2 linked regions of the Ovis aries genome follow. The protein of the gene in region 2 purifies or fractionates together with the protein of the main gene of each other region. This does not show direct contact. Links are inferred from orthologs where the notes say so. Each region holds a gene or a part of one and is shown on either strand. Other genes may lie near its edges. The genes, in order: OGT and ASXL1.

Evidence for each region.
Region 1: the proteins of ASXL1 (region 2) and OGT purify together in Homo sapiens (affinity purification with mass spectrometry; 3 studies listed by BioGRID and IntAct, with this or other methods). This does not show direct contact. The link is inferred for Ovis aries from reciprocal best matches to the Homo sapiens genes ASXL1 and OGT.

Annotation. Positions count from the first base shown.
Region 1 is NC_056080.1:64,197,584-64,205,513, reverse strand, and holds the start of OGT (UDP-N-acetylglucosamine--peptide N-acetylglucosaminyltransferase 110 kDa subunit), read right to left. Parts: upstream 4,193-7,930; 5' UTR 3,997-4,192; coding exon 3,960-3,996; intron 625-3,959; coding exon 444-624; intron 1-443. UniProt on the Homo sapiens protein: Catalyzes the transfer of a single N-acetylglucosamine from UDP-GlcNAc to a serine or threonine residue in cytoplasmic and nuclear proteins resulting in their modification with a beta-linked N-acetylglucosamine (O-GlcNAc).
Region 2 is NC_056066.1:61,470,228-61,478,283, reverse strand, and holds the start of ASXL1 (polycomb group protein ASXL1), read right to left. Parts: upstream 4,824-8,056; 5' UTR 4,619-4,823; coding exon 4,559-4,618; intron 3,395-4,558; coding exon 3,312-3,394; intron 3,077-3,311; exon of another isoform or gene 2,353-3,076; coding exon of another isoform or gene 2,350-2,352; intron 992-2,349; coding exon 883-991; intron 1-882.

The sequences.
Region 1 (7,930 bases), on a different chromosome or scaffold from region 2:
GCTAAAAGTAGTACATCATAATGATTTAATGATGGCATTTGCAGCTTGAACTACATATGCACCTCCTACCGCAACATATACACTATTATCTCTGAACACTTCTGTCCCTCAAGGTGACACATCTTACAAAGGTGAGACTGGATGCTCAGATGTAGACCAAGAATAATTTATTACCTGAAAAAGAGTTCTAAAAAAGCAGCCGACGTAGGTGGAAAAATCTAGAAAAGGTTCCTAGTTATACCAATAATACAACCACCACCACAAAAGAAGGGAAGAAAACTGGCAGCTGGGCCTATCACAAGTGGGCAAGAGAGCAGATGTGCGTTGGTGGCTCCAGGTGAAACCCAGAACTGGAAAAATTTCAAGTTCAGATATTTAAGTAACATTTTTCAAGCTCAGCACTCAGAGGCAGCAATCACCAGCATCACCCCCACATCTCCTACCTGTCCAGCCTTCGACACTGGAAGTGTATAGATGAAAGTAATAAAAGCACACCAGTATTGTCTGGCTCTTGTCTCCAGAGCTGCATGCAGTGTCTCTCAGCTGCCTCAAAATCTCCTGCCTGATATTCACGATGTGCCAACTCAGCTAACCCTTGGAAGGAAAGCATACGTTTCGTTGGTTCTGGAGAATCATCAAAACATTTGAGGGAAGGAGGGGGGAAAACAAAAAGTTAGAAATGCAAACAAAAAAATGTAAAAATATGGTATATTAAACTTAAAGATGAAAACGCTTGAAACTATGTAAAGCACTAGAATGTTCTGCACATTATCGATACCCCCAAGTTAACATCAGGTGCAGAATTGGCATTTTTAGAATTCCCCGCCTACACAGAAATATTTACTTGCAAATGAGATATTTTATGACCAAAAATACTTGGTATTTTAAAATACAAATCAGATGTAGCATCTAAAGATTCACTACTAAACACTCCTTATACTTCAGTTAATATAGAGAAACGAAATATAAAACATGTGATTTGCGAGGTCACATAGATGTAATAATGTCAGAATAACCTACTGGGAAACTTAATACTTTGTCCCATGTTTTAGGTTGGATTGGGGGGGGGGTACTGGTAACAATCTACCTCTTAACCTGGGTGGGGACACCAGATGTGTGGTTAACTCTTCAAATTATATTCATGCTTTTTTATTATTTCACAACTTAATTTTTAAATTATTTTAAGGGTGACACTAGAAACAGGCATAAGGGGAAAAAACTAAAAGTCAAGGTGCTATTTTTAAAACAGCTGATAAACAAGATGAATTCATCTGTCAAGAGCCAAAATATTTAAAGGGGTCAAACATTTTAAATCAAAATCCAAGATTATATTATATTGCTCCTGTAACCATTCCAAACTCACACTGAGACCAAATTAGCTAAATCCCACCCACGATGGTTTAACACTAGCATTTTCTAAAGAGCTCTGATACTGACTAAAAGGACTAAAACACTGCAAACAACCCTGTATAAACCTACAACTGCAATGAATTTTTTAAAGAATGGAGAAATGCTAAAATATAAAACCATTCAATAAAGTGCAACTAAATTAATAATAAATGAATGTACTTTGCTGTGTGTAACTTTGTTCAGATACAAAAAGATAAAGAATATACAGCTAAAGCCCAGAGATGGAAAACAACAACAAGCTGCCTAAGTCTCAAGTGTAAATACTTTAACAATGATACATTACTTGGGAATTTGACCACAGTACTTCCAGGAGACAGAGTAAGAAACTTTCTACAAATTAAATACTTAAATTCTACCAAGCTCCAAGTGAGAAGCTAATATTGAGCCTAGACCCTCAATCATTAGACCTGGCAAATGAACTGTATACTCAGGAAAGTAAAGTAAATTTCCTAACAAGGCACAGCTAGCTGACCACTAACGTTAAGAGCAGAGAGACCTGCATCCACATTTGTGGACGGTTATACCTCTTATGGGCTTCCCTTGTGGCTCAGCTGGTAAAGAATCTGCCTGCAATGTGGGGAACCTGGGTTCGATCCCTGGGTTGAGAAGATCCCCTGGAGAAGGGAAAGGCTACCCACTCCAGTATTCCGGCCTGGAGAATTCCAGACTGCTATTGTTTCCCAGCTCACTCTGCTTCTGTTCAATTCGGTCCCATTTATTTTGGGGCTTCCCTGATGGCTCAGATGGTAAAGCGTCTGCCTGCAATGAGGGAGACCCGGGTTCGATTCCCGGGTCGGGAAGATCCCCTGGAGAAGGAAATGGCAATCCACTCCAGCACTCTTGCCTGGAAAATCCCATGGACGGAGGAGCCTGATAGGCTACAGTCCATGGGGTCGCAAAGAGTCGGACACGACTGAGCGACTTCACTATTCACTCTATCTATTTTAAACAAGTCTCTAGAACTCCCTTCCTTGCTCCTTATTTTTAACCCATACTTTATCAACTTTTCAAAAGCCGCCTATCTGCTATTTTAACACTAGAAATGACAACTTTCTCAAATAAAATAACAGGCAGAAAAGGGCAAGCAGGGGCTTCATTGGTAGTCTAGCGGTTAAGACTATGCGCTCCCAATGCAGGGGGCACAGGTTCCATGCCTGGTCCGGGGAACTAAGATCCCGCAAGCCGCATGGTGCGGCCAAAAAAGAAAGAAAAGGGCAAGCTAGAACAAGAGAATCTAGGACAGACTCTTAAATCTTTAAAAAAAAATCCCTGAGCGAGAGGGGAACACTACCAATCTCACTACCTACAGTCAAATATAAGATACAATTGAAGATTCATCTCTTAGTGCACAATGTCCAAGAACAATAAAACCCTTGACATCTCAACTGAGAAACCAACAAAAAAATAACCTCGTGGGAAACCTTAGAACCGCAGCCCAATCCCCCCTCCCTCCCGCCCCAAACAGCCTCAATACGGAAAGGCAGCTGAAGGACACCCCTATAATTTGGAGTTTTCTTATTTTTAGTACTAAATGCTCTCAGACTAATTGTCTAAAAGGGCAACCGCCTTGCACTTGTGCAGCTACACTCCAGTTGCTTTACAAACTCTTCAAGCAGGGATGAAAACTCAAAAAAATATACCCCCTATGAATAAAGAAATACCGGGCTAAAGAATGGGGATGGAAGACCCAGAGACAGACGGCGGCGGAGGAATACAAGGACAAAGTAACACAAAGCGAGAATTGGGCGGGCAGGATGGTCAACGCCGAAGCCCCCGCACTAGAGTGGTTTCTCCCCGAGGGTAGGAAACGGACCGCAGGGCTGGCAACCACGCGAAGGAAAGGGTGTGGCTCCCCGCGGGAGCGGAGGGAGGACAGGGTGGGAAATCCAGGCTGGGGGCAGCGAGTGGAATTGGGAGATGGCAAAAGAAACCCCTGGAAATTTCCAATCGAAACCGGGGCCGCTCAACCCAAGGCACAGCACACAGGCGCTGCCAGGCGCGGTGCTGCTCAAAATCCCCTGCTGGAGAGGTTACTCGGAGCGCACCCAGGAGCTTGCGCTCGTCCTTGGGGTGATGCAAAGTGAGGATACGATTACATTGGAACGGCACCTCCGCCCTAGATTGACAGAGGACCACCAAATCGGGCTAAAGGGAGCGGGGTGGAGGGGGAAGAGAAGGGGGCGGTGAGCTGAACTGGGGAGAAAACGACTGCGAAGGAGAATGAAAGGCAGCGAGAAGGGCAGGGATTCCAATGCAGTCCATTCTGAGACAGTCTAAGCGCGCAGGTGTAGAAGGGTCCCGAGAGAGCAGAAGGCTAGAAAATGTATAGGATTACAAAGCAAGAAAGGAAGCAAAAAGCAAGCAAGCGAGAGAAAATGTTTTAGGAACGGACGACAGCAGAAAACCCAGATCAGATGCCGCTAGACGCCGAAAAGCTTAGCGATGCCACTGATGCAATGGGGATGGCCAGAGGGGAGGGAGTGATGAGAGGCAGAGGACGGCGCGAGACCCCAAGGGGGCGTCTGCCAAAGTAGAACAGACACCGGTACCTGTGCTGTCGGCCACGTTGCCCACGGAAGACGCCATCTGGAGCTTCTAGAGCGAGTGCAAGAAGGGGGTGATTGAATCCTGCAGCCGCCACTACTGGCAATAATGTTTCTAGAGGTAGGAGCACGAGGGCAGCAGCCGTACCAGTGCTTTGGCAGGCTTAAGCAGCAGCAACAGTTACAGCTTTCGAACCCTAGAACTCTGGTTGGCCATCTACCTCTCACGGTCTTGAAATGGCGGCGACGGCTCCTCGGCCGAAACAACACGGACCGGAACTACTTTCTGTTACAATCAAGTACCAGCGCGGAAGTAGCGCGGTAACCAGTGCTACCAACAAAATGACTATAATCAAAGTCAATCGCTCCTATGTAACCTTCCGCGCAGGGCCCATTGCGACAAACACGATTATGTCTAGAGCGCATGCGAGCAGCCGTGTCAGCCCGACTGGCTGTTAGGGCACTGTCTGGGACAGGAGCCACCAAGTTTTTTTTACTAGCGAAGCGGATGGTTTAAAAGAAACTATACACTTGAATGACACTTTTGCCAGTGGTATAGTCTGCTGCTGCTGCTGCTGCTGCTGCTGCTGCTGCTAAGTCGCTTCAGTCGTGTCCGACTCCGTGCGACCCCATAGACGGCAGCCCACCACGCTCCCCCGTCCCTGGGATTCTCCAGGCAAGAACACTGGAGTGGGTTGCCATTTCCTTCTCCAATGCACGAAAATGAAAAGTGAACGTGAAGTTGCTCAGTCGTGTCCGACTCCCAGCGAACCCGTGGACTGCATCCCACCAGGCTCCTCCGTCCATGGGATTTTCCAGGCAAGAGTACTGGAGTGGGTTGCCATTGCCTTCTCCATGGTATAGTCTACTACTTAGCAAAGAGCATAGATTTTAATAGGAATGCCAAAGGCGTATACAGGTTTCATCAACTTCATTCGTATAGTTGAAAGATGATGAATCAATTCTGAGCAAGTAAATCTAAATGGTTATATTTTCAAAGTCTAGAATTCAAAAGAGAGAGTTCCAATTTGAACACGTGTTAGTTCTGATTCCAGCCATTGGTTTAAGCACTTTGATTAAAAGGATTGAGTTTCTCAGGGCCAAATGAACCCAAGCATCTCAGATTTTGGCCATATAGCCCAAAAGTTCCAAATCCTCTTGGTTTCACGATAATTTTGCCCACAGTATTACGGCAAATGCTTCACAACTCAGGGACATGCTGACAGTTTGCACTGCAAAGGCAGCAGCCATAAAACTGTTAAAGATTCATATTCTTCAAAATCCATGACCCTTCCGAGTTGACTTCATTTCCACCACATTGCTTTGTGAATTGTTACAATCAGTGATACCATTTAACTCAAGGCAGCTCAACAATGATAAATTGATTCATTTGCCATCTACCTAAACCACACATCTAGAGACTAAACTGCTGCGCTTCCTTGAACAAATCAGTTCTTTATGATCCTCCTGCAGTTTCAAGTCCACTGTTCAGACGTTTTGTCACATTTAGTATTAATTTATATTGCATCTCTTGTTCCAGAAAGGATTAAAGTAGCTTGCCACATTAGCAAGAAATTACAAACCAATGAAGGCAAGAAGCTGGGGCTCTCAGAGCCTTTTTATTTCCCCAAAAATAGTCCTTGATCTAAGACAACAAGTCCGTGAGTTTATTCAAAATGTTTCTACTACCTAGTCATCTGACCACTTATTTTTTTAAAAAAACTTAGGTCCTCAAATTTTGCTTTAATTTATCTGAGACAGTTCACATACTGTTAATTATGGATATGAGTGCAGAAGAAACTTGTAATATTGATAATTTCTTCTATTACATCCATAATTAAAAGTCAGGTGCAGTGAAAAAGTTCACTGCACAAACTTTCCTGGAAATTGGGCACCAGCTTCTTCTCTTAATTTAACTGGTAAAACCTTCCCCCCACCCCACTCCCCCCGGTGCCCCACCCCTCACTACAAGTGTTTGATCTGTGGTGAATAAAATCAGCTTTTCAACTTTTATAACAGACTTCTCAAATTCCACTGGCAGATGTTTAGGCCTTCCTGAGTAGAGGGTGCTTAGCTAATTAAGTAAAATTCTTCTTCAATGCCAGGTTATGTTGCCAGCTGGGCCAGCTATTTGGCCCATCCATACTTGTGTCTAAGTTTCCTTCTCCTGAGAGAGGAATCAAGGGATGCTGCTGGGAAAAGCTGGGTGGTGGGGCTCACTGTGAATCAATAAGGAAACACCCCCCCACACCCTGTTGGAATCTCAAGAACCCCCTCCAGGTGCTTTCCAGGAGTAGCACCTGGAGGGTTTAGTTTGAAGGACTTACCAGATAAAACCATCTTCTTTGGCCAATCAAGTAACATTTACTAGAGTCTGTGCAAGGCACTGTGGGAGATGCAAAAATCAACGGGAAGATCTTTGCCCTCAAGGAAATTGAAGCCCAGGTAGTTAGACTCAGAAAGCCACTAGAGCATAAAAAAGAAGAGCATTATAAAGGTGATAAAATACATCAGTGTCTGTAAATATCTGAGAAGGGAACAGTCACTTCAGGCTGGAGAAGGGTGACAAAGAAGGCGTGACCTAGGTGTTGAAGGGGGTGCTTTTGTGTGTTCTCTTTCACACCGATTTCTGTTTAATGTTTTGTTTTGTTTTCTCCCTTTTATGGGTAGCAATTCAAAATTCAGAATCATCTAAAACAAACCAGATGCTTCTTCCACTGCAACCCCAAACTTTGCCACCTTAATAACACTGCTAATGGTGTATTAGTTTTCTGTTACTGTCTCACAAATTACCACCAACTTAGCGGCTTGAAACAAATACATATTTTGCAGCAGTTGCACCTGCGCTCGGTGAGGGAGCCTGAGACACGCTCTGGCCGCTGCCACCAAATGGTTCAATGAAGCTGGAAGAATACACAGATGTAGCACCGCAGGCTCATCAGATGTTTGCGGATACTGTTCCAGAGAGAGATCGACCTCCACCCCACCCCCCCCGGATTAGCTAACCAGTCATAAACAAAGAAAATTTGTTTAAAAACCTCCCGGAAATCGTTGAACCCGAATAAAAGGATGAAACTGATTTCATGGTAGCACAGCAACCATCACTAGCCAGTGAGTTTGGAAAACATGATTCCTTATTTGGTAGCTGCTATGGTAAAGACATGGCCAGCTGGGATATCAACAGGGAAGATGAAAAAGAACAAAATAGATCAAAGAGTGAAAGCCTAATGGGTACCTTAAAAAGGTGGCTTTCTGCAGAACAAAAGCAGAAAAGCAAGAGGATTGCACCCTCTGGGAGCTCTGCCAGATGAGGATGCAGTGTCCTCTCCTCAGCACCAGTCGTTTTTAAAGATGTGACTTCTGAAAGATCATTACTATAGTCATACCCCTTAGCCTCTTGACCAGCAAACTCTTGAGGAGGCCTGTATCAAAATGGAGGAAGTAAGATTCAAAGTCTTGGTTCATTCTTCCAATCCAGATCCAACACAGAATGATGTCTGAAAATATTTTCAGTCTTCAGATTGAAACTGTGTGCTGAGAACAAAATAATTGAAGAGTTTAGAATCTCAGAATGGAGATTTGCATCTTCCCTCAATGAACCTGTAGTTATTGGACTTATGCCTCAAGGCTGCCCTTGGGACTTCCCTCCTGGTACAGGGGCTAGGAATTTGCCTGCCAGTGCAGGGGATACAGGTTTGATCCCTGATCTGGGAAGATGTCACATGCCTCCGAGCAACTGAGCAGATGCACTTAGAGCCCTGTGGTCCTCAGCTAGAGAACCCGGGGCACAACAATGGAGGGTGGTCCGTGAAGGAAAGGCTCAAAATCCCCTCCGGGTCCTCCCCACCAGTCCATGCAAAACAAAGAACTCTCTCACTGGGAGAAAAAAAATGGACGTTCAGGTTGACTACACCCAGCTCCCAGCCCGTCCCAGCCTCTGGCAGATCTCCAAATGCCTTGCCCCAGCCGTTTAAGAG
Region 2 (8,056 bases):
CTGCTTTCCCACTTCAACAGTAAAGTTGAATAGTTATGATAGAGACAGTGTGGCCCACAAAACATAAAATATTATCTGGTCATTCACAGAAAAAAATTTGCCTACTCCTTCACTCTGCTGCTGCTGCTAAGTCGCTTCAGCCGTGTCCGACTCTGTGCGACCCCATAGATGGCAGCCCACCAGGCTCCGCCACCCCTGGGATTCTCCAGGCAAGAACACTGGAGTGGGTTGCCATTTCCTTCTCCAATGCATGAAAAGTGAAAGTGAAGTCACTGAGTCGTGTCCAACTCTCAGCAACCCCATGGACTGCAGACCACCAGGCTCCTCCATCCATGGGATTTTCTAGGCAAGAGTACTGGAGTACGGTGCCACTGCCTTCTCCATCAGTTCGCTCTACTTAAGCTTTATTGTGAATTCTACCTGATTTCTCTCCAATAGTAATTAGTGTCACTTGTTAAATGCTAACGAGTTTTTTAATTTCCACAAGTATTTTCAAATTTCAGTTATTTTCCATAGAGTAGGTCTTACTCAGCTGTCCGGCAATTTATCCTTCACAACATTATTATAAACAAATTCATAATTAAGCACATTTGCAATTACCCACACACATACTTATCCCTCTATTGCATATAATCTGCAAAGATATAGACAAGGAAAAACATTACAGACACAATAGCTGATATGACTAAATATTTAATAATTCCTAATACCCTGTTCACACTAGATCGTCTCTCAAGGTGCCATTTCAGAACAACAGCAGCATCCCTCACCTGCCTATTATAAATGCAAATTTGTGGGCTTCATTCCAGACCTACCAGGTAATCCTTATGAACACTAAAATTTCAAGAACCACTGCACTAAAGGAGAATTTACATGACTTACCTTGAGTGTAAAAAGGCTGATTCGGCCAGGTAGTTTATAAAATAACCCCTCTCCTCCTCTGGAATTGGAATGTAGCATGGCATTAAGACATGCGAGAGGGGATGTCCCACTGTAAAAACATACAAGGATGGAAAAAGGTCATACAAACCAAGATATCTACTTACTCAAAGATCTCTTACACTTCAACTCATTATTAAATCAAGAAGAACAGGAAGAAATATAAAACATCCCATGACAAGAATTCTGTTCTGAAAGTGGCAAAGGAGTAGCACATGAAATTCACATAAATCACACCTAGAGAGCTCTGGGATAACAGGTTATGTGGTATCTCTACTCCACATCTGATGATTCTTGAGTGCCTTTTGCCAATATGAACCAAACTCTCAAGAAATTTAGAAACACTGCACAGATTTTTCAGGAACACTCAGGAGTTTTGGAAAAAAAAAATTACCCAATATTTTTATTTACTCAAAATTTTTTAAATTAAATTTTAATGCTAATTAGAAACAAAACCAGGGTTCCCTAGCCTCTATCTTTCAACCTGCACATCATGCTCAGAAACTGCCACATAACATTTTTAACACAAAGACCAGGCATCAGTGATGCTGTCCTGAGAAAATAAACATACTTTTTTTTTCCAGTTAAATTATTTTTCAATACACACACAAAAGGAATAGCATTTCATTTGCTTTTTCTCAGTTGGGAAGGGGGAAAGATGCATTTTATTTTGTATCTACCCAGGAGCAATTCTTTAAATTTGAATTAAAAAAGTCAAACAGACTTAGTATGCAATAATATAATGTTCAACCATTAAACCAAAAACAAAGAGATAGCATCTTAAGTTGTTTCACAGTTCCTGCTACAACAGAAGGTTGCAAAACAATGACAACTCGAGTGAGTTAGAGACTACTTATTCAGTCTCAAAAAGAGACATTGTCAAAAATACAGACAAATGCCCATTATTAACTGAGTTTGGCACTAGCATGTTAGTACTAGGGTTTACCTGTGCACCTTCTTGTCCCTCTCTCCAGCAAGATATATAAATATCAATATCTTAAGTAATGCCTCTCAGCATTTTTCAAAATTAGAGGCCCTAATTTTTGTCACGTTAAAAATAAATTTTGAGTCTAAAAAAGTCATCAAAAAAAAAACTATTACTTATTCGGCTTTGGAACACCCTACACGCCTAAGAAAAAAAAAATTTCACCAAGGACCAATCTCTATAAGAAACCTTGTGCAGAATCTGGAGTGTCAAGTGGGTGTGCTAACATCTCTGCTACAGGGGAAAGCATGCTGGCAGAGTCTTTCTTCCAACAGCGTGACTCCTACACACTATCCCTCTGTCTACAAATTATAGAGCTGCTCACTCATCACGAGCCACCATGACCACTTCATAATTCCTGTAAGAGCCAGAAGCAGAAACAAGTTAGGTTCTCAATTCCATCTGTCCTAAAAGGACTAATTTACCTTCTATAGGCATAGTGGTCCACCAGCAGTGCAGACAGCGGCGCGATGGGAAATAGCCCATAAAAACAAAATAAAACAAAAGACGCAATTAAACCACCACACCGTGCATAGGTAGTATTTACATGAAGCACCAGAACATGATCCAGACAATCCCGACCTTCCCTCCCCACAAATGTCAGTTTGAGAATGTGTGAACTGACAACTGGAAAGTGAGGATCTTTTGATCCTAAAAGATCAATTTAAGTAGCTAAAGCTTAACCAGCAAAATATATGCTGATTGTTCTGAATCCCAAGAAGGAACTGTGTTGTGCTCTCCTCTCCCACTTAAATTTTGAAAAAAAGGTTGGGGTGAGCAGAGAAAGGATTCAGGACAGTCCCTGGTTTTTATTTGTGCCTGCAATTCTTTTTGTGTTTCCAATTTGTTGCTTCTCTAGGAAAAATATAGGATAAGAAAATCAAGGTCATCACCAAATTTAGCATGCTCATAGCAGGATAGGCTAGAATCAGTAGGGGAAAAAAATCAGTAAGTTTTATGATTGGATCACCCTTCTCTGAGCCTAAAAACAAAGAACTTCAGAGATATGGTACAGAGAGAAGGATAGTTTTAGACATGATGGAGCAGATCAGTCTATTCCTTCTCTACTACTGACACGTGCAAAACGGAATACAAGAGAAAACACGCTGACTCCTTATGCAAAAAACAAGCTCCACGGTGAAAGGCATAGTAGAGCAAGGACGGGGAACCTGCTGCACCTCTGATGAAAACCAACAGAATTGCAGCCACTCCCGCCCTCCAGCCAGAGGACCAAAGACACCGAGACAGCTCCACACTACCATCAAACACGTGTGTGTGTATGTGTGCACACATATATGCATTTGTGGACTTTCTCATTCACTACCTAACTGCAGGAAGACACATGTTCTCTAAAACCCTCACATTAAGCAACAAGAGCCATACAAACCTCATTTCCTTTAGTCCTTCTGCCTCTATGACCTGCAGAATCTGTTTGGGTGTCATTGGAGCATCCGAATAGTTTTCCAGTACCTGAAGAAATATAAATGTTCTGATTTCAGTGTGCAGTTCCCATTTATATCCATTACTATACAACATGGGCTACAATTCTGCTATGAGGTACCACTGCTGACATCTTAGTTTTTCCACAGTCAAAATTACTTCTGAAACCAAATTACACATATATCTAACTAGTTGCTGAAAGTGACTGCAATTAGAAGAAATACTCTAATTTTCAATTCTGAAAATACACATCCTCTCAGCATCCATGTTCTGGTATGTGGGGCCTTCCCAACTTTAATTGCCACTTAACCTGATGCTGTTAATACAGCTAAACTAGAGAATACATAGCACTATAAACTGTAAGACAGAACTGCATTCAGGCTTTCCTTCCCAAGTAAGTTTGATTAGTTACAATATTTTTATCTTTTTTTGTGTGGGGGGAGGGGGGAGGGGGGAGGGAGCGGCGGCTTGGCTTGCAGGATTAGTTCCCCAACTAGGGATTGAACTGGACACTCAGCAGTGAAAGGATGTAGCCCTAACCACCAGACGGGCAGGGAATTCCAGGTACCTGTATTTTTTCAATGATGACTTTCGCCACTGGGTTGTGGCATTCTGGTGTTAATTAGTACAGGACAATTTGCCTTTCAGCAATACAATGCTACGATTCTATATGATTGGTGCAAGCAAAACAAGGAGAAATGGAACATCCCATTTATATTAGTGACATCTATAATTAAGCCCCAGCAACAATGTCTTAGTGAGCAACCAGTGCTCTCTCACTTGAACAAGCTGAGTTGTTTTAGAAATGTTATCCTTTTCAGAAAGGAAAAAAGACAGGCTGTCAGTATCTCTGTACCATCTCTAGCAGTACAGCTGCTGAGGTTACGCCAAACCACACCAACATCTTACAGTCATTTAACAGCCCTAACAAAGTACTGCATGGCTGTGTCACAGATAAAATGCAAAGCAAGAAGCCTAACAGGACTGCTGTGAAGGTTCTCTCCGTGGAAGAACAAGAGTTCTAAGTGATAAAGAAGTCAAGTTTTGGAGAAGCAGGTGCTGAAATAAAACCCCTATTTCCTATGGTCCCATTCTTAATCTCTCTGTTCAGTGTTTACATTCTCCTTGGGTATCATTATCATCTCTCACAGTTTCAACGCTACCAAAATACTGAATTAACTCCCAAATCTCAACCTTTTGCCTGGATTTCTCCCTAAGCTTCAGGCCGCAGATATTCAGTTCGGTACTGGACATCCCTCATGATCATCTTCTCTCTTCTGATATTCCTCTCCTTGGTTGGCAGTCTGTCTCATCACCTAATTTAAAACCAAGGCATCATCCTTCACTCTCACCTGTCCCCCAGTTCTCCCAGCCAGTTTCTTTCCTTTAAAAGAAAATTTTTTTTATTTAATTTATTTGGCTGCACCAAGTCTTAGTAGCAGCACTCTAGATCTTGAGTTGCAGCACGCAAACTCTTAACTGCACCATGTGTGATCAAGTTCCCTAACCAGGAGCCGAAACTGGGCCGCCTACACTGCGAGTACGAGGTCTTGGAGCCACTGGTCACCAGGGAAGTTCCCCCACAGCCAGTGTCTGACCCAACTTGACACAACAGCCTCTTCTCTAACATCCCTGCTTTCCTCAAATTCATTCTTACTCCGCTGCCATCCTTCATTCAACAAATACATGAAATACTCTGTGCTAGGAATAATTTTAGACATTCATCAGTAAAAAAGACCAAAGCTCAGCAGAGCTTAACCTGCTATAGCCTGAGGTCAGTCCAACAAAATAAACCTGCCCTCACCACTTTCTGCATTAAAGTCCTTCGACAGCAACCTATTTCCATACAGCGGAAGCTGAAGCTCCAGAGAGGCCACTGGCCCACTAGAAAAGCACGGGTTTTAAAAGCAAACAGACGTGGTTTTAAACATTCAAATTCTGGTCTTCTAAACCTGGGCAAAGAGTTGTGTTGCAAAGAGTTGGACACAACTTGGCGACTGAACAACAAAAAAACCTGGGCAAGTTACCTACCCGCCCTGAGTCTAGGTTTCCTCACTTGTGAAGGAAGGATACTGAGGCCTTCTTCTCAGAGTTGTTGCAGAGATAATGGAGTAAGTGCCTATGGTGCCAGACACAAGGTGTGTGCTGGCCAGGCATGCCAGACCCTCACAATCTGGTCTCTGCCTGGCTCTCTGATACTCCACAAACTTTATGTTCCAATAACTACGTGCAGGTCTACCCAATTCCCACACTCTCCACCCTGCAGATAAATACACACATACACACACTCTCCTATTTTTTGTTGCCAACTCCTGCTTATGTCCTCTGTGAGGAGTCTAACTCCTACTCACCCTTCAAGATTCAGTTCGGAAAGCACCTTCCTCCAGGAAGCCTTCTCTACTCTCTGCCAGATAGTTAAGCGTCTTTTTTCAGTGCCCCATAGTTGCACAACACATATAATTCATCTTCCAAAGCAGGACACTTGAGAATAAAAGGAGGAACTACTCATAATTATGCCTAGACAGTAAGCAGAAATCAGGATGTCTATTACCATTTATACATCTATGCTGGCACTTACCATGCTTGTAATGAAATTCTACTCACCTGTTAGAGAAGGACTCTAACCCCAGAAAAACCATAAGCTCCTCAAGGGCAGACCATATCCATTTCTGTAATTCCAAGAACCTAACTGCCAAGTTAAGCAGCACTGATGAACAAACCCACAATACAAACTACTAATGTTCACTGCCACAGATATGACTTCTTTGATACTAATTGTGAGCTGAGCTAGTGAATTTTTTCACAGTAATTTTTTGTTTTTTAAGAAGCAAGACTCAAAAATTAGTTACCAATTATTTAAACAGCAGTCAGGAAGAGCCTGAGAATCTTAAGACAGAGGAAACAGAATCTCTATAGGGAAGTTACATCAAAAGATACAAGGTATTCACTTTTATTAAAACTGTATATGCCTTCAGCTTTTAGTGTAAGAACAATTCAGCAGTGTTCTCTCCCCACCCTGTCTTTCTACAGCATACAAAAAGTATCTCTTCTCCAACTTCAAAGGGGGAAAAAATGTTTGATGTAAGAATGGTCAGTCATGAATCAAAGTGAAAGATAAAGCATGCAATGAAGAGTTTCTCAAAGCCAGGGAGAATCCATTTAAGGGCATTCAATCTAAAGGGAAATCCACTCAGCTATTTCTCCCAAACTGTTTCTAACAAGCAGGAGGATTTAGACCCACCCAACCACCTAAAGTCTACTTTCTACATCTAGGAAAAACAATACCAGCAGGTGTTATAAAGAAGAATATCTACTTCTCAACAACATAATTAACAGCTGCAAAAATCAATCTCCTGGGATTTACTACATTACTGAAATAGTCCATAAGTCTCTTCTTTCCTATCAGAATAGCTTAAAAACGGTTCCTGGTATCATTTTAACCACCAAACTGAGCAAGGTCGGGAGCAATATGAAACTGCCCCCAAGCAAGTGCATCTTGATTGCCACAGCAAGCACTCCAAATTCACCTGTCCAAAGAGTACTTAGAACTAACCTACCCTCCTACCATTACAACTCACTCTTCTCTCTATCCAGTGTAAGCACTCACAAACTCTCCAGCACTTGGTTTGTTAAAGCAATTTTTTTTTTCCATATGAGCAGAGAATTCTTAAGAGCTCCCCCTCACCCACCAACTGGTCCATCCAAAGGGACAGAAAATCCTAAACAAAAAACAATAGAAGATATACAAAACTATACACTATATTCCCACAAGTCATCTTGCAAGAGTTTAAGAGCATAAAGTAATTCCCAGTAGGAAATACTATTTTTTAATGAAGAATCATAAAAGAAAAAGAATTTACTGGGGACAAACTGAGCCATGATAAAACAGAAATAGCAACCTGGAACTGGATTGTAGATCACAGTAAACTCAAGACTATAAAGAGACATAATAGTGGACCCCTGAATTCCCAGAGTCTTTCAACTAGGAAGAGCCAACGGAGCTTTAAGACAGGCAGACTTTAGAATTCTGTCAGGACATAAATAAGAAAGGATTTAAAGGTACTTTCACCTACCTCTAACAAGTAAAAACTCTGGCAAGCAAATTTCCTTTTGGTGCCCAGAGTCATAAACACCTGCAGAACAGAAACTCAGAGGAGAATTTCAATGAACAGCCTCAACCTCCAGGAGAAAGCAAGCACATCCTTCTGGCTCTCACTACTCTCCTCTAGGCCTAAATCTGTTTCCAGGTGAAGCAATCCTGGAGAAATCTGAAACTTCCAAGAGATTCTGAAAGCTAACCAAAGGTTCCAAATTTGACTGCATCCAAAAAACATACTTAAGTACTTCAAAATCTTCAAATTTCATATGCCAAACCAAAACAAAGTAACTGAAGCACAAAACTTCAACATACAAACTAATTGCTACTTCCCTTTCTTGGGCAAAAAAGGTATGAGAAAGATAATCAGGTACACCAGTGAAATTTCTCCTACACACCAAACAGCATTCCCTCTTTTAAGTCAGTAACTGAGTTTTAAGGCTCCAAGAAAGAAGAGTGTACCACAGATTTGTAAAAACCTCCAACACATATTCATCTTTTTTGCTCAACACCTCTGAGGCAGGAACCTCACTTCCCAATAAAATTAAAGATTAGAAGGCTGAGCTTCATTCATCATTAAAAGTAAATTACAGCAA